4 linked regions of the Canis lupus familiaris genome follow. The protein of the gene in region 1 binds, or shares a complex with, the protein of each later gene. Links are inferred from orthologs where the notes say so. Each region holds a gene or a part of one and is shown on either strand. Other genes may lie near its edges. The genes, in order: TRMT112, THUMPD3, THUMPD2 and METTL5.

The links.
Region 2: TRMT112 (region 1) and THUMPD3 share a complex: the UniProt entries of both Homo sapiens proteins name them as parts of the heterodimeric THUMPD3-TRM112 methyltransferase complex. The link is inferred for Canis lupus familiaris from reciprocal best matches to the Homo sapiens genes TRMT112 and THUMPD3.
Region 3: TRMT112 (region 1) and THUMPD2 share a complex: the UniProt entries of both Homo sapiens proteins name them as parts of the heterodimeric THUMPD2-TRM112 methyltransferase complex. The link is inferred for Canis lupus familiaris from reciprocal best matches to the Homo sapiens genes TRMT112 and THUMPD2.
Region 4: the proteins of TRMT112 (region 1) and METTL5 are in contact, whole or in part, in a crystal structure (PDB 6H2V), measured with the Homo sapiens proteins. The link is inferred for Canis lupus familiaris from reciprocal best matches to the Homo sapiens genes TRMT112 and METTL5. Residues at the interface, in NP_001359000.1 of Homo sapiens: Met1, Lys2, Leu4, Thr5, Leu8, Leu9, Ser10, Ser11, His12, Phe21, Pro22, Leu23, Pro34, Val35, Asn38, Asn40, Phe41, Arg44, Met45, Lys48, Glu92, Arg111, Gly112, Ile113, Pro114, Asn115, Met116, Leu117; in NP_001280115.1 of Homo sapiens: Asn52, Lys53, Val54, Gly75, Leu76, Val78, Ile82, Leu87, Asn91, Thr100, Ile102, Asp103, Met104, Val105, Gln106, Cys107, Asp108, Asn114, Arg115, Met116, Ser119, Phe120, Asp121, Arg150.

Annotation. Positions count from the first base shown.
Region 1 is NC_049239.1:53,259,136-53,266,448, forward strand, and holds TRMT112 (multifunctional methyltransferase subunit TRM112-like protein), read left to right. Parts: upstream 1-2,923; 5' UTR 2,924-2,967; coding exon of another isoform or gene 2,968-3,024; 5' UTR 3,025-3,339; coding exon 3,340-3,417; intron 3,418-3,507; coding exon 3,508-3,822; intron 3,823-3,911; coding exon 3,912-4,019; 3' UTR 4,020-4,188; downstream 4,189-7,313. Other genes in the region: PRDX5 (peroxiredoxin-5, mitochondrial), read right to left, coding at 150-211, 375-413, 487-618, 1,088-1,222, 2,968-3,024. UniProt on the Homo sapiens protein: Acts as an activator of both rRNA/tRNA and protein methyltransferases. Together with methyltransferase BUD23, methylates the N(7) position of a guanine in 18S rRNA.
Region 2 is NC_049241.1:8,846,868-8,854,407, reverse strand, and holds the end of THUMPD3 (THUMP domain-containing protein 3), read left to right. Parts: intron 1-628; coding exon 629-744; intron 745-3,587; coding exon 3,588-3,698; intron 3,699-4,295; coding exon 4,296-4,419; intron 4,420-4,598; coding exon 4,599-4,748; 3' UTR 4,749-4,864; downstream 4,865-7,540. UniProt on the Homo sapiens protein: Catalytic subunit of the THUMPD3-TRM112 methyltransferase complex, that specifically mediates the S-adenosyl-L-methionine-dependent N(2)-methylation of guanosine nucleotide at position 6 (m2G6) in tRNAs.
Region 3 is NC_049238.1:31,896,972-31,905,648, reverse strand, and holds the start of THUMPD2 (THUMP domain-containing protein 2), read left to right. Parts: upstream 1-3,165; 5' UTR 3,166-3,184; coding exon 3,185-3,310; intron 3,311-8,677. UniProt on the Homo sapiens protein: Catalytic subunit of the THUMPD2-TRM112 methyltransferase complex, that specifically mediates the S-adenosyl-L-methionine-dependent N(2)-methylation of guanosine nucleotides, most probably at position 72 (m2G72), in the U6snRNA of the major spliceosome.
Region 4 is NC_049257.1:14,780,121-14,786,790, forward strand, and holds the end of METTL5 (rRNA N6-adenosine-methyltransferase METTL5), read right to left. Parts: intron 6,593-6,670; coding exon 6,478-6,592; intron 6,124-6,477; coding exon 5,942-6,123; intron 5,217-5,941; coding exon 5,134-5,216; intron 4,216-5,133; coding exon 4,164-4,215; intron 4,075-4,163; coding exon of another isoform or gene 4,058-4,074; exon of another isoform or gene 4,027-4,057; intron 2,712-4,026; coding exon 2,575-2,711; 3' UTR 2,262-2,574; coding exon of another isoform or gene 2,223-2,261; 3' UTR 2,159-2,222; downstream 1-2,158. Other genes in the region: SSB (lupus La protein), read left to right, coding at 124-166, 576-716, 1,306-1,492, 1,607-1,738, 2,067-2,158. UniProt on the Homo sapiens protein: Catalytic subunit of a heterodimer with TRMT112, which specifically methylates the 6th position of adenine in position 1832 of 18S rRNA.

The sequences.
Region 1 (7,313 bases):
ACACTTGTGTGCATGCTCTCGCTCTCTCTAAAATAAGTAAATCTTTAAGAGAGAGACACCAAGCCAATTACAACAGCCTAGGCCTGAAGGCTGGGAATGGAGGTCGAAGGGGTGCAGGGGAACCCCACAGAAGACCCTCCTACTTTTACCTCTTGAGCCGATGATTTCCAAAGAGAGATACCAATGAATCATCTAGTAACAAATCTGTCTCCTAAAAGAAAAAGCAGAGACAAGGCTTAGAAACTTCCAGAACAGACCAAGCCCTGTCCCCACCAGCTGTCCCTCACATTATAGCCATGTCCCTCCCAGTTCCTGTATCCAAGGCCCGGCACAGGGACCACCCTCTAGTGTGGGGGTTGCTGGTGTGCACTCACCTTCCCAAAGGCCCCAGTGGGGTCAGCCAACAGCCTAACCTAAGGAGAAAGTAAAGGTCAAAAGAACAATCCCCTGCCTGGCCCCTGACCCCCTGCAGGGCCCACATCTCACCTTGCCTCCTGAGTTATGAGCTCGTCCCCATGCCTCAGTCACGAAGACATCATTAACGCTCAGACAGGCTATCACCTGGACCCCCTTGGCCTTCAGAGCCTCAGCCTGCTCCATGAATCCTGGCAAGTGGGTCTAGGAGGGGAAATGAAGGGTCAGCAGAGGGATAATTGCCTCTGCTCATTGGCCTACCCATTATCTCCAGGAAATCCTCATTTCCTTTTGAATATCTTTGATCAGACCGTTAGAAACGCATAAGCCACAAGGAAGCTCAGGTCCAAACTCGAGTGTTCGGTAGTCACCATGAACTTCATCCCAGGGACATGACTATACTTTATTTACCCAAGCACCTTCCATGGTGCCCATCCATGGTGCCCATCACCAGCAACATCAATAAGACAGGTGGGACTTAATCACAAGACCCTTTTCTCCTGCATTCCTGATGTCACTACCTTTTCACCACCTCCACTTATTTTCTGAGTGCTCTGATAGGCCTTCTGTCACCTTATCTATGTGTCCTCGTCGCAAGCTGCCCTAGGACTTAGGAACAATACAGATGTATACACAAGATTCCAACCAGGGAGTCCCAGAAGGGTGGTCTCACCTTGGAACAGCCAGGGGTAAAGGCCCCAGGGACTCCAAACAGCACCCCCTTCTTGCCCTTGAACAGCTCTGCCAGGTTCACCTCGTTCCCAGGCTCCCCTTCAAAAACCGTCACCGAAGGGATGGCATCTCCCACCTAGAGGGAATGGCTTCATGATTACTTTGGTTACTTTAAAAGTGAGCAAAGATGACTAGAGATAGGCTAGACAAGGAAATAAGGAGTTGGGGAGTGAGGGGGTGGGTAAAGAGGCCAAAGGAAAGGTGTTAAACCAGACCAGGCAGTTCCTTCTAGTGGAGCAGAGTTGACAGACTTGTAACATCCTAACCAGCCAGTTTCCAGCGATCCCTCCCTGCCACCCTACCTACCCTCTTCCCCCCACCGCCTGATTACTCCACATCCTCCAGGTTTCAAGATGGCCCTATTCCTTTCACCGGTTTGTTGATGACAACAGAAAATGGAGGAGGAGGCCTCCCTGGGTGTTGCAAGGGATTGAGTAATCAGGGAGTCTCTTTCTTACCAGAAAGAAGTGGGATCTGCAGGCAGGGGAGGAGATGCATGGGGCCTATCTAAGGGGTGAGGAGGAGACGCTGACAACAGGGAGGGAGAGGCCCCTGGCCAGGTCTGAGTGTCCAGCGCTCAGGAAGAGAAAAGGGGAGACCAGCAGAAGGTGAAAAGTTGGGGAGGGGGAATAAAATAAAAGGAATTTCTCAAAGGGGATGGATTAGTCTACTTAGGAAGAGTGTGTGAATGTTTCATGGAGCCAGAGGAAATACGGGAAGGGAGGACAAATCAGGGAGTGGGAGGAAGATAAAGGAGGAGGAGGTTTCAGAAGAACGTGGAAGGGTTCCCAGGATCATTCCAGGTGAGGGTTTGAAAGACTCGGCAGAAGGGTGGGCATGAGCTGCGGGAGAAGCGGAAAGGAGGAGACAAAACAGGGGCTCTAACGGAAAACACTTGTTCCAGACGATGGGGTGAAGAGTGATGCCCCAAAAATATAACAAGAACGTGCAGGAAGGTTTGCAGGGGAGGGGCACGTAGGAGGGTTGAAGAGCAGCCCTGCGGCAGAGGAGAGGGCCGGTTCCGGAAGGCGGAGGAGACGCCTACAGATGGTGGAGACCCATCTTGGTGCCGCATGGTGGAAATGGGAAGGGGGCGAGGGGAAGGCTCGAGAGCTCTGGGGCTGTCCAGTGGATGGGGTACAAGTCCCCTAAAACTGGCGAGACTGCAAAAGGGTGTGGCTGAGGGAGAACCGCAGGAGGAGCGTCCGGCGCGGCGGGCAGGGGTCCTGAGGGCAGGAAGGAGGGGGATTCTCTCCCGGGAGGACGGGCGGGAGGGGAGCTCAAGCTGGCCCGGCCAGCGGTCACCTTGATTGGGGCCATGGCGGAGGCGGCGCTTCTGAAACCGTGGGCCCCGCCAAGCGTCCAGTCCCTGCCTCGCTGCCGCACCCTCCGGCTGTCGACACTGCCTGTGCTGCAGACCCGAAGGCAGCCGCGGGGACGAACCCGGAGCCCACCGGGCCGGTCAGGGCGTCCAACGCAAGCGGCCGCACGCCGACCCCGCCGCGCACCACGGCCCGGCCCCCGCGGCCCAGGCGCGGCGAGGGGCGGGGCCCAGCAGGATAAGCCCCCGCGGGATCCCGCGAGAGGCGGAGCATCAGCGAGGCCCGCCCACGGCTGGGCTCCTCCACTGCGCAGGCGTCGGGGCGCGAGCAAGGGGCGGGGCTTCTGGGGCGCTCGGCTCTTGGGCGTCTGGGGCTGGACAACCAGGGCAGTTACAAGCGGGCGGGGCTTTCGACAGCCGCGCGGCTTATTTGCGTGCAGGGATGGGTTGTCGCTCTCGTGGTGGGCGTAATTTACGGATTGACCGCAGCGTTTCCTTACCCGGAAGCGAGGGGCGGCAGACGATGGTGCCAGGCCGCCCGTGTAGGAGAAAAGCATGTTTATTTTGCATTCAGCAAAGGCCCCTGCGCTGCGGCGGCTTTACACGTGATCTACACTGAGCGTGATCTGTAGTGAATGGAAGCCACTGGGGCTACGCCGCAGTCCTCTGCCAGGCCGCTTCCGGCAGCAGCGCGTGACCCGACCAAGCTCTTCAAGCCCCTCCGCCCCGGCTGCTCGGGAACTTGCAGCATGCCGGCCACTTCCGCTGGCCCGAGCCGTCCAATAGGACAGAGACGGGAGCGGTTCCGGAAGTGACGCGAGGAGCGTCTGCTTTCCTCCGGTTCCGGCCTGGGGAAAGCGCGTTGCCGCGACATGAAGCTGCTCACCCACAACCTGCTGAGCTCGCATGTGCGGGGGGTGGGGCCCCGTGGCTTCCCTCTGCGCCTCCAGGTAACGGCGGGGGGGCGGGCTCGCGGCCGTGCCCTGGGCGGAATGGAGAAGCCGGGCTCTGGTCCCTAACAGAAGCCCTCCACCCTGCAGGCCACCGAGGTCCGCATCAACCCCGTGGAGTTCAATCCCGACTTCGTGGCGCGTATGATACCCAAGGTGGAGTGGGCGGCGCTTTTGGAGGCGGCGGAGACCGTGAGGACCCTCCCCCACGCCCGTGTTCACCTTCCGGGGGAGTGGGGCGGGGGGGAGTGGTCTCACCGCCAGCCCAGAGCGAGGGGCGGGACGCCCGGAGATGACTTAGGCCTTTGCCCACAGTTGCATCTGGTCGAGGTACCCAAAGGGCCGATTGAAGGGTATGAGCATGATGAGAAATTCCTGAGGCAGATGCACCACGTGCTGCTGGAGGTGAGAGCAAGCCCATCGCTTGCTTCCCCGGCCACCCAGCCACAGCCCGAGGCTGCGGGTACTCAGCTCTGTTCCCCGCTTCCCCGCAGGTGGATGTGTTGGAGGGCACCCTGCAGTGCCCAGAGTCTGGACGTCTGTTCCCCATCAGTCGCGGGATCCCCAACATGCTGCTGAGTGATGAGGAAACCGAGACTTAATCGTGCCAGATACTAATTTTGAAGTCTGTAACTGTGTATGTTTCTGTTTATATCTAGCCTATTTGCTAGTCCGTCGTGTATCCCCACCCGTGACCCAGTGACACACGAGAAACACGATGTTCTTGAGCTCGATATATTTCTTTTTCTCATTAAAGGTTCAAAACCAAAAGCGGTTTCTCTTTGCAGCAAATATACATTAAAATAGAGTCTCTGTACAGCCAAGGGCTCTGGGCCCTGGCTTGCCCTATGTCCCTGCACCTCCCTGGCCAAACCCAAAAATAAATATAGTGTTATTGCTCTGCAGGGCATAGAGGCAGTGCTCTCACTACCCCCTGAGGAGGCTGGGTGGGAGCTGATGGGGGGCCATGGCCACCCCAGGGGTCCAGGGGCTGGAGCCTGCTTGGAGTTATTGCTTCAAGGGGGGGGGGGGCAGTAATGCCCAATGCAAATGATGAGGAGAGGAGCGAAGGGGGCAGGGGCCTTTGCTCTCCAAATCCCCCTCTGCTCTGGAGAGGGGGTAGGATTAAGCAGCAGCAAAAGCATCACCCACTGGGAGACTGTTGCCTCCACTCCCTTCCCTCCCTGAGATCAGGCTTCTGCCCCCGCCCCCAACACACACACACATGTCCCCTGCAGCCCCCTATGGCTTCCGCAAGGCCCCCGACACTCTGGGGGCACGTTATGGCTTGCAAGGGGCAGCACTGTGCCCAGAGCCTGGGCGCACACATTCCCAGCTTCTAAGACCCCCTGGGAGAGAGGAGGGGAGGGCGTAGGGCCTGTTCCCAGGGGCTGATGATATTGCCCTGGCCCTGCCAGCAGGCTGTGGCACTGCCCAGACCCCAGCTCTGCCCCCTTGGGGCTGAACCCATTCCGGGCGGGTCCTGCCAGCACCCCCACCCATGCCCACCCCTTGCCTCAGTCCATCATGGCCTCGAGCATCTCCAAGAACAGCTTGTGCATGGGCACCTTGCCCTCCAGCTTCACCCCGTAGAAATGGGCCAGCACTTTGCCCGCTGTCTGGCGTAGGAGCGGTAGTGTGAGCAGCAGCCTGCCTGCCCGCCGCCGCTCAGCACCCCCTCCGGGGCCTGCCCGGCCGGCTTCATATTCCAGCAGGGCCTCATGTAGAGCTTCTCGCAGCTGCTCCACAGCCTCGGCATCCTCAATGTGCACGGAGTCTGCAAGGAGGGGTCAGATGCTGTTGACATGGACCATCTCCAGAAATGGCTAAGCCCACATCTGCTTGAGCACTGTGGGATGGGGCCTGAGGAGGAGCCAGATGCAGATCCGATAGGCTTATTGGAGCACCACTCACTGCTCCTGCCCATGAGCCATGGCCCACCCTTTCTTCCTCACCTATGGCCACCTTTTGTCTTCCCCCCACTTCCCTCCCACTGAATCGTTCACCTGTCCACATAAGGATGGCCCTAGAGCTCCAAATCCTACATGTAGTTCCTGGGTCTGCCCTCACCTTTGGGACTTGAAACAAAACACTATTCATCCCTAATCCCCAATTTTTATCATCTGTGAGATGAGATGGTGCCACAATCAGGGTTACAGACTAGAGGGCCTCCTGGAGACACCTGTCACCATGGACTCACCTGAATTGGCAAGGGCCAGAGCCTTCAGCAGGACATATTCCTCACGCTCCAGCCTCAGGGCCTGCAGTCGCCTCACCAGCTGCAGCAGGGCGGCCCCAAGTTCCCCCAAGCCAGCTGCTCGTGCCCCCTCTTCATCCAGGACCAGGTCCTCAGCAAAGGCCAGCTCATCCTGCAGTGGCAGTGAGCGCTGGGCCACACCCAACACCAAGACCTCCATCCATACACTCTGCAGTACTGACATCTGGTCAGACAGTGACAGTGACGAGAAGCCTGGAGGATAGTGGGAAGCAGACCTGGCTGAACAAGCTCACCAGAGCCAGGCATGGCCTGGCCTACAGAGGGAAGCCCCACATCACCCCGGCCCTTTACCTGGGATACTCTTGGCCCAGCTGATGGTGACCACAATCTCTCGGTCAAAGAGGTCACAGAGGGTAGCCACAGCTGGGAGGTGTCCGTCAGGGCCCGCTGGGTCAGGCATGGCATAGAGCTTCTCGGGCTCTACCACCAGCAGGTGAGACACCAGTGCATTTACAGGAGCTGCAGTGACAGATGGAAGAGGCACTCGAATTCATCCCCCTGCAGGCCCCTTCAGGGTCAAGTGTCTTGCCCAAATTAGTTCCCCTGCAGCCTTCCTCATAGCCACTGGCCAGCCAGGCCTGGACACTGCTCTCGGGAAGGGCTCTCACCATCTCCCAGGGAAATCAAGTTCATGGACAAGTTCTGAGTATGAGAAAAATCTTTCCCGGTTCCCAGGTGTACTACTCAGGGACTGATTTAAAAAAAAAAAAAGGTATTTTTAAAAATACTTCAGGGAGATGTATTGCCAACAAATGAAAGGAAAACCGAGAGCCCAATGCCCACGATACCCATCCTGGGTGACAGACACCTAACAGGCCTCTCATGTCCTGGCCCCATCTGAACCTGAACTTCGAGGACCCATAGCACTCTCACCAGTTTTCCGAGGGCCTCCAGCTACTGCCAGGGGTCCAGCAGGGAAGGAGCCTGGGAAGGGTAACGGGTCCACCTCGGGCCGCCGCTTGTACTTCTGGCGCCCACCTCGGACACGGTCCAGACGTACTCCTTGAATTTAGGATAGGGCTGTGTCCATGGGGCTGGGGGTGGCTTACTGTGCAGAGCCCTCCTACCCAGTAGATTCCACCAGAACTTCCCAGGCCTTGCCCACCCCAGCTCCATGCACCCAGGCCCGTGCCCCGTGCTCACCCTCCTTGAGCATGCCCACCCGCAGGCACTTGGTGAAGCGACAGGCCTGGCAGGCCTTGCGTCTCCGCTTGGTGATCTCGCACTCGTTGGAAGCCGGACAGCTGTACTCAATGCTCCCTGCCAGAAAGAGGCAGGGCTCCAGTGGCGGCCTCCCAGGGCCCAGAGGGGGCTCAGAAGATGGGAGAGCCCAGACTCACCCAGGGCAAGCACAGGTCTGGGAAGAGCAGGAGTGCCCAGAGTGTGGCAGGGAAGCCCAGAGCCCTAGGGGGCTGGCCTCTGGGCTGGGGGCTCCTGACTAGGCAAGGGAAGCTTGAGACCAGAGGTGTCAGACTGACCTCTGCCCCCAGCCTCTAGTCAAGCCACGTCCCTGGACTCTACTAACCTCATCTGTTCCCATCCAGGGCCACAGCAGCCTCCACACTGCTACATCCCATAGTCCATTCTTGTCCTCATCTTACTTGGCCTAAAGGGGCAT
Region 2 (7,540 bases), on another chromosome or scaffold:
TTCAGGGATGATGTGGTGGTTATCATTCCAAGGCCTATGCAGTGGATGTTACATTTTGAAATTTTCAAGTACCTCAGTATATCAGATTATATAAAATCCTGTAATCACAAAAGGGCATAGGTTGGTCACATTAATTTGGTTAAGTTTTTCAAACCACAGTTTTATTTTAGGTCTATAATGCTTACTTTGTGCCAGACACTGCTGGCTGAAGGATTGAATAAAATATCAGACTTGTCCTTAGGGAGATTCTTTAAAAGGCAGACAGGTATAGCAATAATTAAAAACAAGTGCAGTGACAGAGTAAGTACAAAATGCTTTGGGTTGGGGAGGCAAATGAGAGACAGCTGGAGGGTTGGGGTTGATGTGAGAGAGGGTGCCATTTGAGCTAGGTCTTGAAAGATACATAGGAATTCAGCAAGTGAGAGAACAGGAGGGCTTCTCAAGCAGAGGGAATAGCAAAGTTCACAACATGCAGTTTTCTACTACTTTAGAAAAGCATTGGATTATTGCATTGGATTGTCCAGTTTATTGACAATCAATTGAAATGATTTTCCTTTTAATCATTTCATTTTTTTGGGGGTGCAGTTTGTTACTTTGGTTTTAATATATATATACTATTGTCTTTTAGGGGGCTACTGAATGGTCTAACTGTTATCATATTGCTGGTGATAATAATCCGTTGGCTGTGAATAGAGCAGCAAATAACATCTCATCTTTATTGACCAAGAGCCAAATTAAAGAAGGGTAAAAACCTAATTTAAAAAGTTTTGTAGCATTTCTTAGATTTAATCATGTTTCCTATCAACTTTATGAATTAATACCCCCAGTGCATGGTGACATCATTATAACTAATATGAGCATACTGTGAGATTCCATTAAATTTAAAACCGTTTATTAAAAGTAACTTAGAAAAATATTTTATTTAACTATATTTTCCCCACCCAGTGCAATTAGTTTATTTCTGTCTTCCTTTTTTCTTTCATTTGTATTATCTTTTTTCCCAAATGGTGGAAGAATATTGCATTGATCCATTTTAGTTTTCCAAATTTTCAAACACTGAGTTTTTTCTATAGTCTTTTTAAAAATGACTGCATATTTGTGTAGAAATACTACAGTTATTTAGCCTTTCCTGTATTATTTGGCACTTTAAGGCAGTTTCAGGGCTGGAGGAAAGCCATCTGGCTGAAAGCCATCTCCACCTAAATGTCCTATAGGAAATCCTGACCAATGGCCTTCCAGTCTGTGTCACCATCTCTAATGACGGTCTCTGAAGGCTGTCAATTCCATCTTTGCTTAGCTTGGAGTACTAGTATTGTCTCATAGTGAACTGAGTTCCTCTCTGTACCTTCTAGAGTTTAGTCCCATTTGGATCCCTAAAGAATCTTAGCTCTGTGTCACATAATGCTTGACATCAGACATTTGAAGGGCTACCAAAACTCCCCCTCCTCCTATCCCACTCCAAATCCTTCTGCAAGCAATATTTCAGAGGCCTTCAGCTGGATCCTATCTGTGCACTGGAATTCCATTGGCCTCTGAGAAATGTTTTTGTCTTTTTTTTTTTTTTTTTTTAGTCTGAGCTATCTATTGTTATAGTATCTTAAGCCCTGGCCCACTGTTTCATGTTATGTTCCATGATGCCACCTGTGCCACCCTTTCACCATTCTTTCAGTTTCAGCTGTCTTTGGGAGAATTGGTTGAAATGTCACTTGGTCTTCAGTTTCTTACCAGAGGCCTCATCATAAAATTGTTTCTGTGGTCTCCTCTGCTGGTGCCTTTTTCTTAGAAAGTGGCAGGAGTAGGCAGTGGTCAGCAGTTTTGTTCAATCATACAGATACTCCATATTCTGAATACATAACCAAAGAAAGTCATCATACTCTATAATTGGCCTTATCAAACCTAGAAACAGCTGCCTGAATAACCCTTAATTAAGGTGAGGTTTATATTTGTAACTAGAAATCAGTGGTTTTAGAAAGTATCTATCTCTTTGATGCAGATATTCCTGTTATTACTTAACACATGGGATGCCTCATACTGTTTTATGTCTGTATGTTGGTTATCCTCCTTTTGTGCTAAATTTTCCGCCTTTTTTGATTAAAATCAAAATTTAATTCATATATTGTTTATTCTGGGCTTTGATGCTCATGGCTTTTTTTTTTTAATTTTTATTTATTTATGATAGTCACACAGAGAGAGAGAGAGAGGCAGAGACATAGGCAGAGGGAGAAGCAGGCTCCATGCACCGGGAGCCCAATGTGGGATTCGATCGCGGCTGGGTCAAAGGCAGGCGCCAAACCGCTGCGCCACCCAGGGATCCCTCATGGCTTGTTTTTTATTTCAATTTCCTATTGAGGTTTTTAAACTTGTTATTTAAATTTTAAGTTATATGCTATAAATGTTTTAATGATAAAAATTTTTTATACCTTTTATGCTAATAAGCACTCATTTTGAACATACCCTATAGATTTGTACAATTCTCTATTTTGGTTTCTTTTTACATCGTTGGTTATGTACTTGTCTATGTGATCTAGTTGTCTAGGGCAGTGCTTTTCGAAATTTAATGTGCATGTGAGTCACCTGGGGATCCTGTTAAATACAGATTCTGATTCAGTAGTTTTCATATGGGACCTGGAAGTTTGTGCTTGCTAGTAAGTGTATAGGTGATACCAATGCTGCTGGGCTGTGGTCCAACTTTGAATAGCAAGGCGTTTACATCATTTTTTGCATAGAAGTAGTTGAAAGGTTTTAATTCATTTTACATTTGTTTTATTGATGAATTTTCATGGTACATTTTGTTGTGTTTTTTTTTTTTAAGATTTTATTATTTATTCATAAGAGACACACAGAAACAGAGAGGCAGAGACACAGGCAGAGGGAGGAAAAGGCTCCATGCAGGGAGCCTGACGTGGGACTTGATCCCAGGTCTCCAGGCTCAGACCCTGAGCCGAAGGCAGCGCTAAACCACTGAGCCACCTGGGCTGCCCTACATATGTTTCTTTAGGTCTTGTTAGTAAGTGATCTACCATACTTTATTTTTATTATTTTTTTAAGATTTTATTTATTCATGAGAGACACAGAGAGAGAAGCAGGCTCCATGCCAGAAGCTTGATGTGGGACTCGATCCTGGGACTCCGGGATCATGCCCTGAGCCAAAGGCAGACGCTCAACCACTGAGCCACCCAGGCATCCCTCTATCATACTTTAGATATGTCACCTCATAATCTTTTTTCCCCATGTTCACTGATGCTTTACATTCTCAGTTATATGGTTTACTGTTTCATTACTATCGTCAGTCATCTTTTGCAGTTGTGTCAGTCTTGTTTACTCCTTAATCAGTTTTCTTAAGTTGTAGATGGAATCAGATATCTTTTGAAACCATTTTTTAAATTGTCACTAACAGATTTGGTCATTAGAAGTTTTATCATGTGACCTTAAGCTTTCTTCCTACATTTTGCTTTAAAAATTTTGGTTATTAAGTTAATGTTGTCATTGAGATTATTTTAGTAGCATTTTATATTTTATAGCAGTCTCTTCAGAAATGTTTTTAGATTTCATACTTCAGAATAAGCACCTTTCCTTTGTCCCCATAGCAAAGTGTCCTGGGGCTTGCCCATAGATGCTGTTCAGTGGGATATCTGCAATCTGCCATTGAGAACTGGCTCTGTGGACATTATTGTAACAGACATGCCATTTGGAAAAAGGTAGGACTTGGCTTTTAAAAAATGAATTTTATCTTCACCTGTTAAACATACCCATTTTGTCTTCTAAGAGCTTATTCTATCAGAAGCCTTCAAATCCTTTTAGTACTTAGAGCACTTTTTCACTTCAGAATTATAAATAGTATGATGGAGTCACCAATTTTGTTTTTAGTGTAGAAATTAACTATATTTTGATCTTGGCCATCACACCTTAGTCCACTTCCTGGCCCATTGTTGAATTACAGGATACTTCACAAAGATTGAGGAAAACGGTACTAATTTTCAGGAAAAATGTTTTCTCATTGGTTTGGTTTACATAATCTGTTTATTACAGTCATTAAGAGGACAATTTATGAAACTATTACAGTTGTCAAAGTTCTGTAGTCAGTTCATCTCTTTCATATTTCTAAGCAGTTTACTAATATATCAGATTACTCATTTTATTGGCACATTACAGCAAAGCCATGGCTTCTAAAGGGCAATTGTTTTGTAGATTTCAGGATTTTCTTATTGTAATGAGGATGAGTTCTTAATAGTTTCTCATTTCGTATAGTCCTAGATGTTTATCTACTGTTTGATTCACTGGATCTTCTTTTATAGGATGGGCTCCAAAAAGAGAAACTGGAACCTTTATCCAGCTTGCCTACGGGAGATGAGCCGTGTCTGTAGACCAGGGACAGGCCGAGCTGCACTACTTACTCAGGACAAGAAATGCTTTGCCAAGGTGCTGTAAATTACCCCAAAAACTCACCCTGTCACAACTTTAGGATCTTTTAATTTAAACTTAGGGATACTGAGTATGATTTGTTTTCTGTTCCCCCATAGTTTCTTACTGGCAAATAGATTGCTGGTTGGTCTACAGATTACCTGCTACTTACTTCTTTCCTTTTTATGTATACACAGGCATTATCTGGAATGGGACATGTTTGGCGGAAGGTACATACTGTCTGGGTGAATATAGGGGGTCTTCATGCAGCAGTTTATCTTCTGAAACGTACACCTCAAGCTTTTATTCATCCTTCAGAACAAGATGGGGAAAGAACTCCTTGGTGATGCAAATAATGAAGACGGTTAATGGTATCTGTACCTCCCAACACAGGGAATGTCAGCATGATGAACTTGGTTTAAGAGAAAAATAGTGTTAATAAAATTGCAGCTTGCAGTTTAAATTGGTCTAAAGCTCTTCACCTTTGTTAGCAAAAGGGGTGAATGGAATTTAAAGTCTTAGGCAGAGCTTTGGAACTCTTTTTGACAGACTGGCCAGGTAATTACTACTTAAAATTTTTTCAAGATCCTAAGACTACTAAAATGCTCTGGGATTTGGGTTTTGAGTATTTATTTTCAGGCTTCATGGCAATTCCTTTTTTCCATTGTGGGAGATAGAAAGCTACCCTGGCCTAAAGGAAAGGAAGAAAACAGCCAGAACATTTGGGGCCATATTGCATTGCCTATGCAGTTTTGCTCTTTAGTTTCTCATGTTGGCTTTACATCACCCTTTAAAAACAAATGAAACATTCCATTTTATGAATAGTGTTTGCCCCATAACAAGATGAAATCTTAGGGATCCCTGGGTGGCGCAGCGGTTTGGCGCCTGCCTTTGCCCCAGGGCGTGATCCTGGAGACCCAGGATCGAATCCCACATCGGGCTCCCGGTGCATGGAGCCTGCTTCTCCCTCTGCCTGTGTCTCTGCCTCTCTCTCTCTCTGTATCTGTCATAAATAAAAAAAAAAAAAAAAAAAAAGATGAAATCTTAAAAAAAAATAAATAAATAAGATGAAATCTTACCAGACCAATTGGAGAGTTTACTATCTGCCCTAAAAATCAAAATATGCATGCTATTAAAATTAATATATAAAACTAAAATAGAGAACTAAGATTGATCAAAGGAATTGGCACATACTTTACTGTTAGCAGTGTGGTACATTTCTGTTTGTTTTTAAAGATTTTATTTATTCATGAGAGACACAGAGAGGCAGAGACACAGGCAGAGGGAGAAGCAGTCTCCATGCAGGGACATGGGACTGGATCCTCGGTCTCCAGGATTAGGCCCTGGGCTGAAGGCAGCACTAAACCGCTGAGCCACCCGGGCTGCCCACATTTCTGTTTGTAAAGAACAAATACACTGGTAGGTTAAGTATCAGACCAATAAGCCAAACTTGAGTACACAAAAGTGGTGTTCCTTTCCCTTTTTTTTTTTTTTTTTCCTTTCCCTTTTTTAAAGATTTTATTTATTCATGAGAGACACAGAGAGAGAGAAGCAGGCTCCACGCAGGGAGCCCGACATGGGACTCAAGGACCATGCCCTAGGCCAAAGGCAGGTGCCAAACCACTGAGCCACTCAGGGATCCCCTGGTGTTCCTTTTCAAAGTCCAACATAAACTTGTCAAAAGTATTTGTTGTTTCTTAAAAGGAATAGAGAACATACTGATGTGTCTTTGAATTAAAAACTTTATAAGGAGTGCCTGGGTGGCTCAGGTCATGATCTCCAGGTTCTTGGATGGGGGCCCCACATTGGGCTCCCTCCCTCCCCCCCTGCTCAGAAGAGTCTGTTTCTTCTACTTCCCCACTCACACTCTCAAATAGTTTTTAAGAAAAAGCAAACTAAATGAGAATTCTTCTATTTTCTCTTGGACCTATATTTGTAGTTAGCTGTTTTTCCAGCTGCTTAAAGTCCTTTCTGAGGTGGTGGAAAATAAAATGAATATTAGTAAGTCCTTGTAAAAATGGTACTTCCCTGGGACATAGTAGTTGAGGTACATGTGGAAGTCTTTATTCAGTTTCAGGCTATATTCAGCTTAGATTTACAGTGTCGTGTTAGTAATATATTAGTACTACTCAATACCTTCTTAGATATCTCACATTTAGACTAAAAGGACATAGCATTTCTTTCCTTTGAAAGAAGAGAGTTCATATTAGCAGCATAGCCAATAGTCCTAGTTTGGTTTCTCTCTGATCTACTACCCCACACTTCAGCATGAATTAGAGGGAAGACACTTACAAGGGTTTTATATTCTAGACCGGAGTTTTTACCATCAGAACACATAGTTGCACTATTTTGGGTTCACCATAAAATAATCCTTCACCTCTTAATCATTTAAACTTCTCTGTTGGGTCAGTAATCTGCAGAAGTGGTAAGGAAAAGGACCATGTCTGTTTTCACCACTGTTTATCAAATGCCTGGCATAGTATCTGCCAAAGTGGACATTTAATATTTGCTAAATAATTGTTATTTTTGCATGTTGGTTTAGTTTTTAAGTATCCCAAATTTGTGCTTGACCCATCATAAGCTTTAGTCCTATTAAATAGCAATGTAAAAACATGACCAGATTGGTTTTAGGATGATGCAAATATGTTAGTGAGCACTCAGCAAGCTTGCTATCATCCTCCCTACTATTATGTTTTGTAATCTGGGGACAGGAACAGGAAATGGGCTAAGGACTCTGAAGAGCAGGGATTGAGCTATACGTGATGCAGTCACCAACTAGTTATGTGACCTTGAATTGGGCCTCCTGTACCACGGGAATGCAAAAGAAGGGGAAGGTAATCTTTATAATCTGAGCACAAAATGGCCAAATTACCTGCCAGACATTCTATTATTGTAAGAGTCAATATACTTTAGAAGGGAAAAAAATTAACAAAGATTTTATAAATTTAATGAAAGTAAGATGGTTATCTCCCAAAGACTGACCATGTGCTAGAGCTAGAAAGGGAAACATTTGTTCTAAAATTTATTTTAGGGACGCCTGGGTGGCTCAGCAGTTGGGCTTCTGCCTTTGGCTCGGGGCATGATCCCAGAGTCCCGGGATGGAGTCCCACATCAGGCTCCCTGCTTGGAGCCTGCTTCT
Region 3 (8,677 bases), on another chromosome or scaffold:
TTAAAAGGATGTTGAGGAAGGAGGGGAAGTAGCAGACAAAATCATGAAGAAGGTTATCTCTGGTGTCCTTCTATCCCCTCAATGTCCTCCATTAGCCTCATATCCCCATATCTCACTCATAAGGGCCCTTCTGGTGTGGTGGTTGTTGGAATCCCTCCTAGGACCTCTTCTGTGAGTGACCTTCCATTTAGTTATATTCCATCCAATTCAGCATACATTGACTGAGAAACTTCCACAGGCAAGCTAGTGTGCTTGTTATGGATGCTCAGATCAATGAGGTCATGCCATCCTCAAGGATCTTTTTTTAAAAAGAAAAAAGATTTTATTTATTTATTCATGGGAGACACACAGAGAGAGTGGCAGAGACACAGGCAGAGAGAGAAGCAGGCTCCATGCAGGGAGCCCGATGTGGGACTCGATCCCAGGACTCCAGGATCATGTCCTGGGCTGAAGGCAGTGCTAAACCGCTGAGCCACCCAGGCTGCCCCCCATCCTCAAGGATCTTACAACCTAAAGCATTTGCATTTTAATATCTAAGTACATATATCAATGTTTTTTTTTTCAAAGATTTTATTTATTTGAGAAAGAGAGAGAGAGCCGTGTGAGTGCACAAGGGGGGAAAGGAGCAGAGTGAGGACAAGCAGACTCCACACTAAGTGTGGAGCCTATGGGGCCTAATCCCACGACCCTGAGATTACCACCTGAGCCAAAATCAAGAGTCAGCCAATTAACTGACTGAGCCACTCAAGTGCCCCTATATCAAATGCTTTTAAGAACTAAAGGAATTGCCAACTGCACCAAAATATGGAGATCTTGAAGCAAATAATCATGCCCTAAATTCCTAAAATGCTCCCATTTAATTGCATATCTGTTGTAAAATTGTTCCTGCCAACTGCCAACTTCCTACCTGTTGAATATGCAATATTGAAACAGCAAAACTCAGCTGGATATGCTAAATATCTATAGGGATCAGTGGTTCTTTTTCAGTAGAGACATATTTTAATGAGAAGCAGAAATGATGGAGGAAAGAGTATTTGAGTAATGAGAAGAGAATCCCAGGCAATTCTCCTCTCAGAAAATCATTTTCTCCCTATACAGGCAAAACTTCACCTATTTCACCTCATCTCAAGCACCATGTGAAAGGCATTCTTAGAAGTTCTGTGCTGCAGCAAGGCCCAAAGGTGAGCAAATGCACTTGCCCCCAAGCCCCAGCTTCAGCAAGAGTTAGCCCCTAGCCCTTGCTGACCAGATGCTCCTGGTGGCAGAAAGACAACAGAAGAAGGGGAAAGAGGATATAAGGGGAAGACTGGCTCTATAGGACTACAGCCTCAGCTCAGTAGTGGTTCTGTCCAGGAAAGCATGTTGCTAGGCAGCCCTACACTAGAAAAGTCATTTCTTCATCCACCATGGGCAGCACCACCATAACATTACCCCTACCCACCTCTTTACCTTTATCTCTATTAACTTCCTAACTCATATGCTCTAATAACATCTACCCTCTGATGTGGCCCTTCTGCCCCCAACCCCTCAACCACACACATGGTCACATTTATGTATGCTGCTCCTACTACCTGAAAGGCTACACCAGTACTAACACCCACTCCTACCCCCCATCTCCACAGTCATGTAACTTAATACAACCTTCAACACTTGGCTCAGGAGTCATTTTCATAAGGAAGCCCTCTCTGCTGCCTCTCTGTACTGCCACAGCATCCTGGGTGCATCCTCACTAAATCAATCTCACCATTCTCTAAACCCCTTAGAGTCCAAACCCTTGCTTACTCATTTTAATATCCTCAAGACTTAGCAGGAGGTCTGGCAGAGAGTGGCTGTCCAGTATTTGTTGAACTATGTCTGAGCGCTCACCATCTTGGGTACAGAATGTACAAAGTACTAAAGGGGTCTCAAGGGTCTCCCCAAACAGACTTGAGTGTCAGGAACCCCAAAGCATAAAGAAGTTGGGATGAGCTATGTCAACTGCCGAGAGAATGAGAACGTAAGTCTGAAGGCAAAAAGAGAAGGAAGGAAGGAAGGAAGGAAGGAAGGAAGGAAGGAAGGAAGGAAGGAAGGAAGGAAGGAAGGGAGGGAGGAGGGAGGGAGGGAGGGAGGAAGGAAGGAAGGAAGGGAGGGAGGAATTTGCCAGAATGAAAGGATCTGAGAAGTTTTAGGACCAGAAGCTTGAAATGCTTGTGTTACAGGATTCTATAAGAATTTTTTTACTACTGTCCCAGTAGACCAAGAGGTGGGGCGGGGTGGGGAGGAAAAGAGGGAGTACCTGTTACTTGCCTAGGTCCCATTGGGAAGCACATGAGAGGTACTTGCCAGAAAGATAGTCATTCGTTTAAGAGTTTCTATATAACTTCATATACGCACAGAACTAACGTAATGCTGTCAGCCTTGTAATATGGATTCTGTTCCTCCCAAGCAATATTTTCATTGCCAGTTGAAAATTCAAAATTCAAGAAGCCTCTTCAAATACTGTTAAGAGAGCCAATTTAGTTGGGTGGCCCAAACTAGATGGTGCATTCTTTACCTTGGTGGTTGACTTAATAGTGCAAGGAATGTGACCTGCTTTATGAACATAAAAACGTTCCGTTGCAGAGTGGCGATTTCTGCTCTTGATCCCGAGGATTCCCAGCTCTGGCCCAATTCCTGGTGAAGACGGAAGAGGGCTCCTCGTTTGAGGAGAGTAGTGGGACAGGATGGAGAAGGGGAGAGGGGAAAGTTGGGAGAAATGGAAGCGAGCTCATTATCCTGGGTATCAAGACGAGCCTCAGCTGTGCCACTAACTGTGCCTCGGCCTGCCTAGGGGTCAACTTCCTCAATTTCAAAAATAAGGCAGATGGGTTAGATGACACCAGTCGTTTTTATAGATCCGATAACGGATCCCAATTGTATCCCATCCACCTGCGAGTCTAAGTAGTTCAGATGCCTAATCAGGCAAGTTTCGAGCAGTTAACACAGGAGACCCACAGCCCCCGCTCCCAGGGGACCGGCCCCCGACGCCCCCCTCAGGCCCCCCCACGCCGTGGCCTCCCAGCGCGCTCGCCGGGCGCTCCACTAGACCCCCCCACGCACTCCCCGCCCGCCCCCACGGCGGGGGACACGGGGACGCGCCGCGCGCCAGGTCACGTGACCCCCACGGGCACGTGACCCCGAGGGGCGGGGCCGCGCGCAGGCAGACATGGCGGCGACGCCGGCACATGCCGGCCCCCGGCCTGCAGCGGGCGCCCGGTTCTTCTGCACCGCAGGCCGCGGCCTGGAGCCCTTCCTGATGCGGGAGGTGCGAGCGCGGCTGGCGGCCACGCAGGTGAGTCGGCCTGGCTGCGCGCCCCGGCTGGAAGGAGGGCCGCCCTGCAGCCGCCCGGGCTCCCTCCGCGCCGAGGCCCGTGTAGACCCTGGAAAGCGACGCGAGGCCCCAGCTCGCAAACCGCGGACCCGCAGAGGCGACAGCCCCGGGCCTCGGAGTCCTGACACATCCTTTAATGCCTGCTGGAGAGAACCGCCAGTCGTTGTCCCCTCCACGTCTGTTACCGCGCGTCTCTCACGCCTGTCGTTTTACTAGAAGGGGGGGGCGGGGTTGGGGCAAGTTATTTCCTCGGATGCTTTAAAGGCGGGTACAGGACAGTGCCTGTGGTTGGAATTAGATCCGTCGGAGTCCGAAGCCTTCCTCCACCCTTTAAATACAAATGCCATCCTCAGGCTCAGTCACTTGACCCTGTCAAGGTTCCTGACCATGGCTGGGTTGCCTTCACAGGGTTGTTGGAAGGATTGTATGACACAGGGTACGTCAAGTACACCCAGAACACCGGTTCAGGGCAGCCCGGGGGGGCTCAGCGGTTTAGCACCTGCCTTCGGCCCAGGGCGTGACCCTGGAGACCCACGTCAGGCTCCCTGCGTGGAGCCTGCTTCTCCCTCTGCCTGTGTCTCTGCCTCTCTCTGTGTCTCTCATGAATAGATAAATAAAATCTTTAAAGAAATAAAATAAAACACCGATTCACAGTAGCTGCAAAAGCGATACCGTCTCGGAGGCCTCATAGTCCAACTGCTGGAGGAAGTTGACAGTTGCTGGTATTTTCTGTTCATTTCAATGAAATGAACAAGGTTTTTTCCACGTGAGTTTCCGTTCTAGAACATGCTGAGCTGGTTCATGAAAGCGGAGGGAACAGATGTCGTAGAAACAGACTCCAGTAACTTGATGGGCTCTCTATGACCGTGTGAATGATGGGTGTTTTAGGAAAAGGAAAACTTACTGAATGAAATTGACCGTGCCACTCTAGCAGGCCCTGCAGAGCTGGAAGCCACAAAAGGATTTTCTGCGGTGAGGGTGTTGGGGGCGTGGATGATACAGGGAGGGGGTCATGAAAAAAAATGGCATCTGTCTTAGATTACCATCCATTTGTGGTTTGGGTCCCAGAATTTAATAGAGTGTTGCATGTAGATAATCTAAAAAAAGCAACAGTATAAGATCTGCTGACATCCATGAAGCATTTACTGTGTGTGAGGCCCACGTTCTTAGGTCCTTACTCTGTATTCACCTGCTTAGTTTTCACAACAACCATATGAGGTAGGCTCTACATTTAACAGAAAAGGAGAATGAAGCACAGGTAAATCCAATAAATTATTCAAGTCATGTAAAGTGGCAGACCTGGGATTCAAACCCAAGCTGTCCATGAGCTTAGGTATAAGTATATAATCATGTCCAACCCAGACAGGCCAGGTACCTGGGTCCAGTTCCTTGACTCCTGTGCAACCATTACATCATGCTGCACTGATTTTTTTTTTAATGTTAACTTAGAGTTCTTAGTATGAAAAATGGAAGGCTTACCCCAATTGGAGTATGTCTAATTAGAAAAATTATCCTCTCTGCTTGTTCCCCATCCTCTCTAAAGACAAAAGGAGATACAGAGTGCACAGTGGGTGAGTAGGGGGCTCATCACAGCCAAAAAAAAAAAAAAAACCAATTTCAATTAATTAGAGGGATAGACTTATTGGCAATGGGAGGAATTAAATGTCAAGAGATTTTGGAATTTCCATATTTTGATTGTGTATGTTTTAAGGATATACTTGGAACTGGGATCTGAACAAATAACCTCTGAAATTCCATCTCAGTTTCACTAATATAAACTCTCAAAGTTAAGGCAATTTTGAAAGAATAATGATAGCATCTAACATAAAGCACTTAAAGTGTGTCAGATGCTTTTATGTACATTGGGTACGACTTAATCCTCAAAAGAATCCTATGTGATAGGTCATTTTTCCCTCCATTTTACAAAGAAGTAAAGAGAAAACTGATGCTACCGGGTGGAGCTGGGACTTGTATCTGAATCTTTCTTGCTTTGAAGCCATGTGCTTTACTACTGCATTAAATTATAGTGGGGAACTGCCCCAAAGCATGTAGGTCATTTTTGTAACAGCATGGAAAAGAGTGTATGAAGACTTTAGAGGCCAAAGACATGTTCAAATCTTAATCTTCTTTTAAATTTGGGCTACATACTCAAATTTCTGAGTCTTACTTTCCTTGGATATAAAATGGAGATGATAATACCTACTTTAAAGGATTAAAGCAATCCTTGAGGTAAAGATCCATAGCATGTATAACACAATGTCTTGCAATTAATAGGTGATCAGTAAATATTGCCAATGAGTGAGTTACACAGGAATTCTTAAAATCATTCACGCAGTAACGAGACTGTTAGAAACTGGTTTGCTGCAAGAAAGTTAATATTGTAAAATCTGAATTTACAAAACAAATTATTTTAGAAGTGATTGTTTACTTTTACAAATTAATCACACCTTTCTAATCAGTGTTTCTCCAGTTTTAGTGAACCTAAGAGTCATGTAGGGTGCTTTTTGAAAATGCATGGCCCAGTGGCCACCCCCAAAAACTTCTCTTTCAGTAGGAATGTACACAAGCCCAGTCATTTGCATTTTCCTGCAAACTCTTCTCCCCTCAGGTCACTGATTTAGGTGCTTCCTCAAACATGCAGCTTGCAATAGAAAACATCCTGTGCATTCTGTATAGCTTTTCATCATGGAGAATTTCAAACAAAAATAGAATAGTGTGAATCTTATGTACTCATCGACTGGCTGCAAGCACAATCCCGTAGTGAATTCTGATCCATTAATACTCCTCCATGTTATTTTGAAGTAAACTCAAAATATCACTTCATCTGTAAATGTTTGCCTATATAGTAAGTCACCCTTATCCTTGGGAGACACGTTCTAGGACCCCTAGTGGATGCCTGAGAACATGGGTAGTACCAATTCTATATATACTGTCTTCTACTAAATATATGTACTCATAATAAAATTTAATTTGTTAATTAGGCACAGTAAGCAATTAATAATAAAATAGGACAATTATACTGTAATAAAAAATGTGAATGTGGTCTCTTGCTCACTCTCCTGCCCTCTCTCTCAAATTATCTTATTGTACCATACTCACCCTTCTTATGATGATGTTAGATGACAAAGTGATGAGATGAAGTGAAGTGCGTGACCTTAGGCTACTATTGACTGACTCTGATGGTACTTCAGAAGGAAGGTGGTAGGGGCGCCTGGATGACTCAGTGGTTGAGTGCCTGCCTGCCTTTGGCTCAGGGCGTGATCCCAGGTTCTAGACTGAGTTTCGCTTTGAGCTCCCCACAGAGAGTCTGCTTCTCCCTCTGCCTGTGTCTCTGCATCTCTCTCTCTGTGTCTCTCACGAGTAAATAAATAAAATCTTTTAAAAAAAAAAAAAGGGGGTGGAGCTTCAGGACTATGATTGTAGGCATCATGACATGGCCTTATGCTATTGACCTTACACTATTGACAGGAAATGATACCACGGATAACGGGACTACTGTATATCTAAAAGAAGAGGACTTATATATGGTATAATATAGAAGAGATAATACATATAATGGCTCTTTTTACAATATAAACCATAGTATCATCATGTCTAAAAATAATTTCTTATCAAATCACTGTTCAAATTTCAACTTGTCTCAAAACGCCATTTTTAAGTTTGTGTATTTGAATGAGGAGTCCAGTAAGGGCCACACATAATGATTGACTGATAATCTTTTAAGTCTCTTTTATTTTTAAAAAAAATATATTTTAAGTCCTTTTAATCTATAGATTTTTCCCTACACCTCTCTTTTTTCCCCCAGCGATTTATTATTGTTAAAGAAGCAGGGTTGTTTATAGTCTAGATAGAGCAAGGGTCGGCAAACTTTTTCTTTAAAGGTCCAGATAATAAATATTTTATGCTTTGTAGATCACATATGTGGATCACTTTGTGGTTTCTGTTACATATTATTTGTTGTTGTTGTTTCTTTTTATATCCCTTTAAAAATGTAAAGACCATTCTTATCTCACCAGGCATCATTTTCTGGCCCCTTTCTAGTCTAGAGCTGTGCTATCCAATAGGAGGTGGTGGCTATTTTAATTAATTAAAATTAAAAATTCACTTTCTTAGTCACATTTCAAGTGTTCAGAAGCCACATGTGCTAGTGGTGACTGCGTTGGAGAACACAGGTTATAGAACATTTGAATCATCACCAAATGTTGTTGGATAGCACCATTGAAGTTTCCACTGGTCCTAGGTAATGCCAATTATATCTCCATGTGGTAGTTTAGCATGTTTCTCTGTCCTCTCTATTTCCTGTAAATTGGAATCTTGTAAGTTGTATCTAGAGTTTGTTCAGATTCAGGTTAGATTTATTTTTCCTCCTGGTGGTGGAGCCAACTTCTTTATAGGTTCCTGGATATGTTTAAATGTTTAATCTATATTGTATAATTATACATTTTATTATGTATAATATATTTTATATACATACATACTATATATTTATTTTACCTGGACTATCTTAAAGAAATATATGGGGAAAAGTCAAGCTTTATTTTATAACGGTGTTTAGTGTATTTAATACTGTTATTTACTATAACAATAATAGCAAGAATGTTTTTAAGATAACACTCAATATAATAAAGGTATACCTAATGCCAGCTAGCCAAAAAGGCCCTGTCAGTGGATTAATTGGTTTTTATAAACCCACATAGCAAAGACTTTTTAACTTGGGTCCTGAACCTTAAGAAGACAACTGATTTTTAATTTTTTAGTGGGGTCTTGGTCATAGACGGTGGTGGGGTAGAATCTAACCAGATAATCAGGTTACTTCATAGTTATTTTTTTAATGAGATAATTGTATAAGATTGATTTTTTAAGAGTCTCAACTTTTCTTGTAGATTGAATTTTTTTAATTAAGTAAAATATATTTTTTAATTCTTCTGAAATGAATCAAAAAAGCTCATGTGCCACCTCAACTCTTCACCTAGCAATTTAAAATTAATTCTAAAACTAAATTACATCTGTAGAATTAGGATAACTTTGATATCTCTCTATTTTTCTACATGTTTTTGCCTAGACTTGAAGTTTTCCATTTTTGTGTTAGACTGGAATGCTTGAATTTTAAAAGAAGGGCAAAAATGGTAACTCCTTAGCTATACTAGCTGATAACAGAACTGTTTTTACTTTAATAAGACTGTTATTTCATCTTCAAAAGTGTTAGACATGAAAGCAGCTGATTTTAGACACTTGGTTATGATTTAATTCCAAAATGGAAAAAACAGATTGTATATATAAATAAATTTTCAAGTAACAAGTATTAGGATGAAATATCCTAAAATGCCA
Region 4 (6,670 bases), on another chromosome or scaffold:
TCTCTCTCTGTGACTATCATAAATAAATAAAAATTAAAAAAAAAAAAAAAAAGGTTAACTTTATCAGGATTTAATTTTCTCATACAGTTAATGGAAAGATTCTAATTACCATTTCTTTTGTAGAGAGCAAGAGGAAAAACAAAAGTTAGCAGAAAGTGCTGAAATAGTAAGTCTGTATTTTTGGTATCTAAGCTATAATTCAAATTTATGAGAATAAAAAGTGAGAACTTTTTGAAGCAAGTATGTGAACAAGTCTGTAGTTTTCATTGTACTAAAGTCATAGCCCAATAATACTGCCTAAAATCATTACCCAGAGAAAGAACTTGTAACTACATTTTTTAAATAACCAATATATCCAGCTAGGTAAATATTATATTGTTGAAGAAATAAAATTTTAAGTTACCATCAGAAGCCACTGTATAATAAGGGATGCCACAGGAAAATGCACTATTAAACTACTTTAAAACAGCATTTTAGTTTCTAGCTTTTCCCATGTATTAGGTATAGAGTGGTTTAAGCCATATCTGGTTTGTGGTTGCTTTTAAAAAACTTTAATGCTTTGTATGTCTTTACAGAAATCTCTAGAAGAAAAGATTGGCTGCTTGCTGAAATTTTCAGGAGACTTAGATGATCAGACCTGTAGAGAAGATTTGCACATCCTTTTCTCAAGTCATGGTGAAATAAAATGGATAGACTTTGTCAGAGGAGCAAAAGAGGTTTGGAAACATTCATAGGCTTTTTAGCAATCAGTTTAAAAATCCATAGAAGGGATCCCTAGGTGGCGCAGCGGTTTAGCGCCTGTCTTTGGCCCAGGGCGCGATCCTGGAGACCCGGGATCGAATCCCACATCGGGCTCCCGGTGCATGGAGCCTGCTCCTCCCTCTGCCTGTGTCTCTGCCTCTCTCTCTCTCTCTCTCTCTCTGTGTGACTATCATAAATAAATAAAAATTAAAAAAAAAAATAAAAATAAAATAAAAATCCATAGAAACTTAACTTTTAGAAGATAACATTACTAGCGACAAAATTATTTAATAATGTGTTCATGAAATAGTTTTTGGTCTTTTACTTTCCATTTTGTTATTGCCATCACTGGACGTGATGTCTCATACTTTTTGAGTTAGGCTATAAATAACTTGGTATTTGTGACTGCAAGTTTTATGATAACTCTCTAAAGTTCAGTTAAAATTCATTGAAACTGATAATGGCGGAGAAGATTTGCAGGGCAGGAAAAAGTTTTGAGCAATGGAATTAGCTATGGTACTAAAAAAAACCTTAAGGGTGTGGCTTTTACTGTCTTTGGTATAGGGGATAATTCTATTTAAAGAAAAAGCTAAGGAAGCACTGGATAAAGCCAAAGATGCAAATAATGGAAACCTACAATTAAGGAACAAAGAAGTGACGTGGGAAGTACTAGAAGGAGATGTGGAAAAGGAAGCACTGAAAAAAATCATAGAAGATCAACAAGAATCTCTAAACAAATGGAAATCAAAAGGTCATTAGTTCTGATTTGTCTTGGACTATTTGGTTATTTTAACTCATTTGCTTGTTCGGAGACCGTGACAAAGGACTTAAGACTTTTATGGATTTATCAATTATGTTTTTATAGGTCGCAGATTTAAAGGAAAAGGAAAGGGGAATAAAGCTGCCCAGACTGGGTCTGCTAAAGGAAAAGTACAGTTTCAGGGCAAGAAAACTAAATTTGATAGTGATGAAGAACACGATCAGAATGGTGCATCTGGTAAGTTTTTCTAAGTCCTTTGGTTCTTTGATGAAAAATTATTTGTTATTTCAAAATTATTTGAAAGGACAGCAGTGTGGTTTTTCACCTTTGGTATAAGTGACTTTTGGATTGTGATTTACCCAAGTTATCCTGTTTTACAAGTGGAAAAAAAAAAGATGTTTGGAAGATAAGTTTAGAGAGAAGATCTGTACCAAAGGAAAAAGCCTTATTGTTGGTGTTGGGAAGTTGTTGCTTTTCAAACAATTATTTTGTTAATTATGCTCACTATTAAAAGAGTAATGCTTACATAGTGAACTTAACAAAAATTCTTTATTGAATTGTATAGGACCAGTAAAAAGAGCAAGAGAGGAAACAGACAAAGAAGAACAACCTACACCAAAACAACAGAAAACAGAAAATGGTGCTGGAGACCAGTAATTTAGTAAAAAAATTTTTTATTCATCTTAATTAGGTTTTAAGCTGCTTTTGTCTTTAGAGGCTTTTAAAAAGAAAACCGAATTAGGTCCACTTCAATATCAACCTGTAAGAAAGGAAAATTTTTGTTGTTGTTTAACTTGTCTTTTTTTGTTATCCAAATGAAGACATTTTTTTTAATGTATAGTTCTGTTTGTGTTATTTCAAATATCAAAAGAAAGATTCTTCCATTAAATTGCCTTTGTAATATGAAAATGTATTAGTACAAACTAATAAAATATGTACTATATAAAAAGAGCAAAAACTTAGTTTTTTATTTTTGTGCCTAAAGCATTTGAGAAAGAATATCTTGAACCAGGATATTGGCTGTTATCACATCGATAATTATTCTGTCTCCTTGGCTAGCTTTCTGTATTTACTCAGGCAAGTTGATAACATTGTAAATAGTTACTTATTGAAAAGTTCTTCAGTACTGAATGCAGATAAGCCAGAATCCAGAGACTTACGGATTTCTTTTTATGAAATTTGTATGATGCTGGCAGGTCGTATCGTAGCTCTAGAAAACAAAAGTCATCTAAGAATAAAAATTCATTTGTCAACCCTGACAATACATATATTACATATGTAAATTCTTAAAAATTAAGGAAGTATTTAACCCTGGTAAGCAGAACATTTCAGACCTGTCACTTTAACTTACCCAGAGACTGACTTGATATATTCTCAAGTCAGCCCATGGCTAACTGAGGTTGGCATTTCTATTTGGTCATTGATGCCAAAATTAGAGGTTATGGGGAAGAATTTGAAAGGATAACAATTGGACAGAAGATGATCATACCTTTCTATTTTTAATTTCATAATCTATAGCAGTAATAATCATGCTTATTTTTAAAATTTGTCTGGATTTTAATACTGGTAGTATTTTCCTACTGAGCTTTCAAGTGATGATAATCCATTTTTCTTACTCTAAGAAATACTAGGTTCTCCAAAATTACTCCTCAGTTTAGAGGGATGGCAGTACACTCCTATCATTCATATTTTGCAGCATAAATTCTCTATAGGTTACAGCTCTCAAATTTTACTGTGCAATCAAATCACCTTCAAATCTTTTTTAAAATGCATATTGTAATTCAGTAAGTCTGTGTGGAGCCTGAAGTTTTGCAAGTCTTCTACGGGATGTCAATACTGATGTTCTGAGGACCACATCTGGAGTAGCAAGGTCCTGGCTTGGTATACTTGGAATGGTTCTGAGGTGCTCCAGGCTGCAAGTTCTAATACCTTAAACTAGGTAAGGAATGACAATACTGGATAAATAGGACCGACAGACTTTTTCCACATTACATTACTAATTATGAATAGGACTGGTTATATGGTTAACACTACAGTGCTAATCCTAGTCAGTTTATTACTAAGTAAAGAATATTTTCCTCATGTTGTACTCTTATTTCAGGCCTCTAGAATTATTTGGACCATAGTTGGCTTCTAGTTATATGTTTTTCCCATTTTGATGTTTGTGAATATTACCCAATTTACTAATAAAAATGTATCAAATATTTACTTATAGTGTGGATGATTATATCCTATCCCCCGTTAAAAGAAAAAAGCTTCATGTTCTCTGACTCTAGGGACGATTAGAAAATTGAAATGGAAAAGGTAATCAGGCATGATCTGGTGGTATTTTCCATGAATGGGTTTTAAACAGATCTGACCCCTCCAGGCCCAAGCTCTTACATCACGACAAGTATACTGTCTGAGCCTGGAGTGGCCAAATAGTTGAGTGCTAATTAGGAATTTTCCATAAAATGCATAAATTGGGACACTCTTAGGCAAACACTGACACTCGGCCTTTACTTCATTTCCAACCCATTACCAACCTTTCACATTTTGCCAGGCTGAAAACACGTTCTATGGCATCTTAGCACCTATAAAATTTTGGATGGGCTAATGTATTACTGGCCCTAAATAATTAGGGTTTAGATTTATTTTGTAAGAAACTTAAAAATTGTCTTACCTGCAATAATATCTATCTTGATTTTCCATTCTGTAGCTTTCTTTTGAATATGCTAAAGATAATACGTTAATGTGAGCTGATTTTTAAAATAATTTGAGAATTGTTTTGCTAATACTTCATATTTTTTAAGCCTTTAAAATTTCATTAGAATTTAGACTTTAAAAAGAAAATTATTTATTTGACAGCATAAGCAGGGGGAGCAGCAGACGATGTAGGGCTCAATCCCAGGACCCCCAGAATCATCACCTGAGCTGAAGGCAGATGTTGAACCAACTGAGCTACCCAAGTGTCCCAGAATTTAGACTCTTAAAAAATTTTCAAGTGAACTGGTAGTATTTTGAAAATAACCCAAGCCATTTTAATACTATAAGAGTACAGCTAAGTAATGGTATAGGTTATGAAGCTGAACTCAAATACCTTGACCAAGATAACACAGGGAACTGGTAGTTTGGATTTGAACGTAGGCAGTCTGGCTCTACAGTCTGTGTCCTTGATCATTATGTTATATTGACCAAAAATACACCAAATTTTCTGTTTTCTTCTATACCCCCATGTGTTACATAGGTGGCAAAAAGAATAATGGAACAGGGAGATTCTGAACTCAGCTCACTTTAGCTCCAGGCTCAGTGTTCTTAAAAATCAGGTCTTACTGCCTCCATTATGCACAAAACCACAAAGGGACAATGGGATTACTAGGATTTAGGCAAACTAGGATATACTATAACCCTAGCTATACCACACTTCTCTACTGAAGTTCATGTAATCTCTTGGTAAAAGTTCCTGCCAGAGCAAATCTTTGACAGAAGTCATATAGGCTGGAAGAAAACTAATGCTAGCTAGTCACAGGGAAAATTCAGTTTCTAAGTGCCAGATGTTTAAAGAATTTAGAAGAGATACCCTGGTAATTAGCATTCACAGCAAACCCATAAAACGCTGTCATGAATTTTGAAGTAAAATGATTTGAACTTACATCTCTAGTAGAGGATTTGTGTAAAGAGTATACTGCTGTTCTTGCCATTTCCAAAGCAGTCTTCAGAAATGCCATATCTGTCCCTGTTAAAAGTAGAAAAAGCTCATATTTACTTTATATACCTGTTATCAAAATAGTGGATTAAATGAATACCAGGTATTTAAAAACTTTTTCCCAAAACCAAAATAGACACTTCAAATTCTTCCTGCAAAAAGACAAGATGCAAAAAAGTAGAACATGTATCTTTTAAGATTGATAGAATAAAACCATTATACTATCTTGTTTAAATAAGACTAAAATGAAAATTTTAATATTCCAAGTTAACTCTCAAGGGAGGCAAGAATAGGTAGTATAGTAATCAGAATCAGGCAGCGGCTGAAGGGAGAACTCTTCATGTCTTTTCTTACCAACTTTCTACCCTCCTAGCCCATAGCATACACAGAATAAATAGCCACAGTTACTGATAGACACGTGTTGAACTCTCGGTGTGTTAAGGCATTAAAGAGAGGTTCTAAAAGTATAAAATCCTTTACAGAATTATTAGAGTTCGGTAAATCATTCTTGAAAGCAAAGTATAAATAGTAAATGAATAAAAAGACTATTCTCTTAGTACAAATAGGTGAAAACAAAGATTGAAAAAATTCAATTTCCTAGACATGTTAAACAAATTGAAACTGTAGTAATTATACAGGTAACAGATTGTTTAATTAAGAGCGATACAATCATTTAACCCAAACAATAAGAAAATGACTTTTAAAACTTGTTTTCCTACAAATATATCTGTATCTTTGAAGTTTTTTTTACTAACCTTTATTATTTTTGGTCCCAAAGGGAGGATTCATAATTACTGTATCAAATGACTTTGACATTCTGTTAGATAATGAGCGCACATCACATTGAACCATGTCAACATTTGTTAACTCAAACTCTTCCACATTCCTATTAAATACTTCCAATGCATCTTCATCTATGTCAAATCCAACACACAATCTATAAATACAGAACACACACAAAGAGTGACTAGCTCCTGAATCAAAACAACAAAATTAAAACCATATGCCTTTTTTTAACCCAACTGGCAAAGTAAGAGTATTGCCTTTCGACAGCATGATTTCCCAACCTGGCAGGGGTTGGAAACTCAGGTGTGTATAAAAGGGAGGCATGTGATAGCCACTATTACTGTTTTGTTTTACTGTTTTGCTCATTGAAAATGTACTCAGTATCAGATTCTTGCTCCCCTCATCTCATACTGTAGAGTCCCATAAATATAATTCAGTTAATTCTATTTATGTTTCTTATTTAAGGCCACCCTATACCCAAATGTTAATATACAGGATCACCTACCCTGCTCCTAACATTGCAGTTCCGATGCTAAGAACTCCACAACCACATCCTAGATCTGCAACCACTTTATTTTCAATGTCATCATATGTATTATGGATTGTATAGAGCATACATGCTAAAAAATCAAAAAACATATTAGGGAATAAGAGCAAGTTGATGACCAAAATCTAAGTCATGTAAATGACGAGTGCAA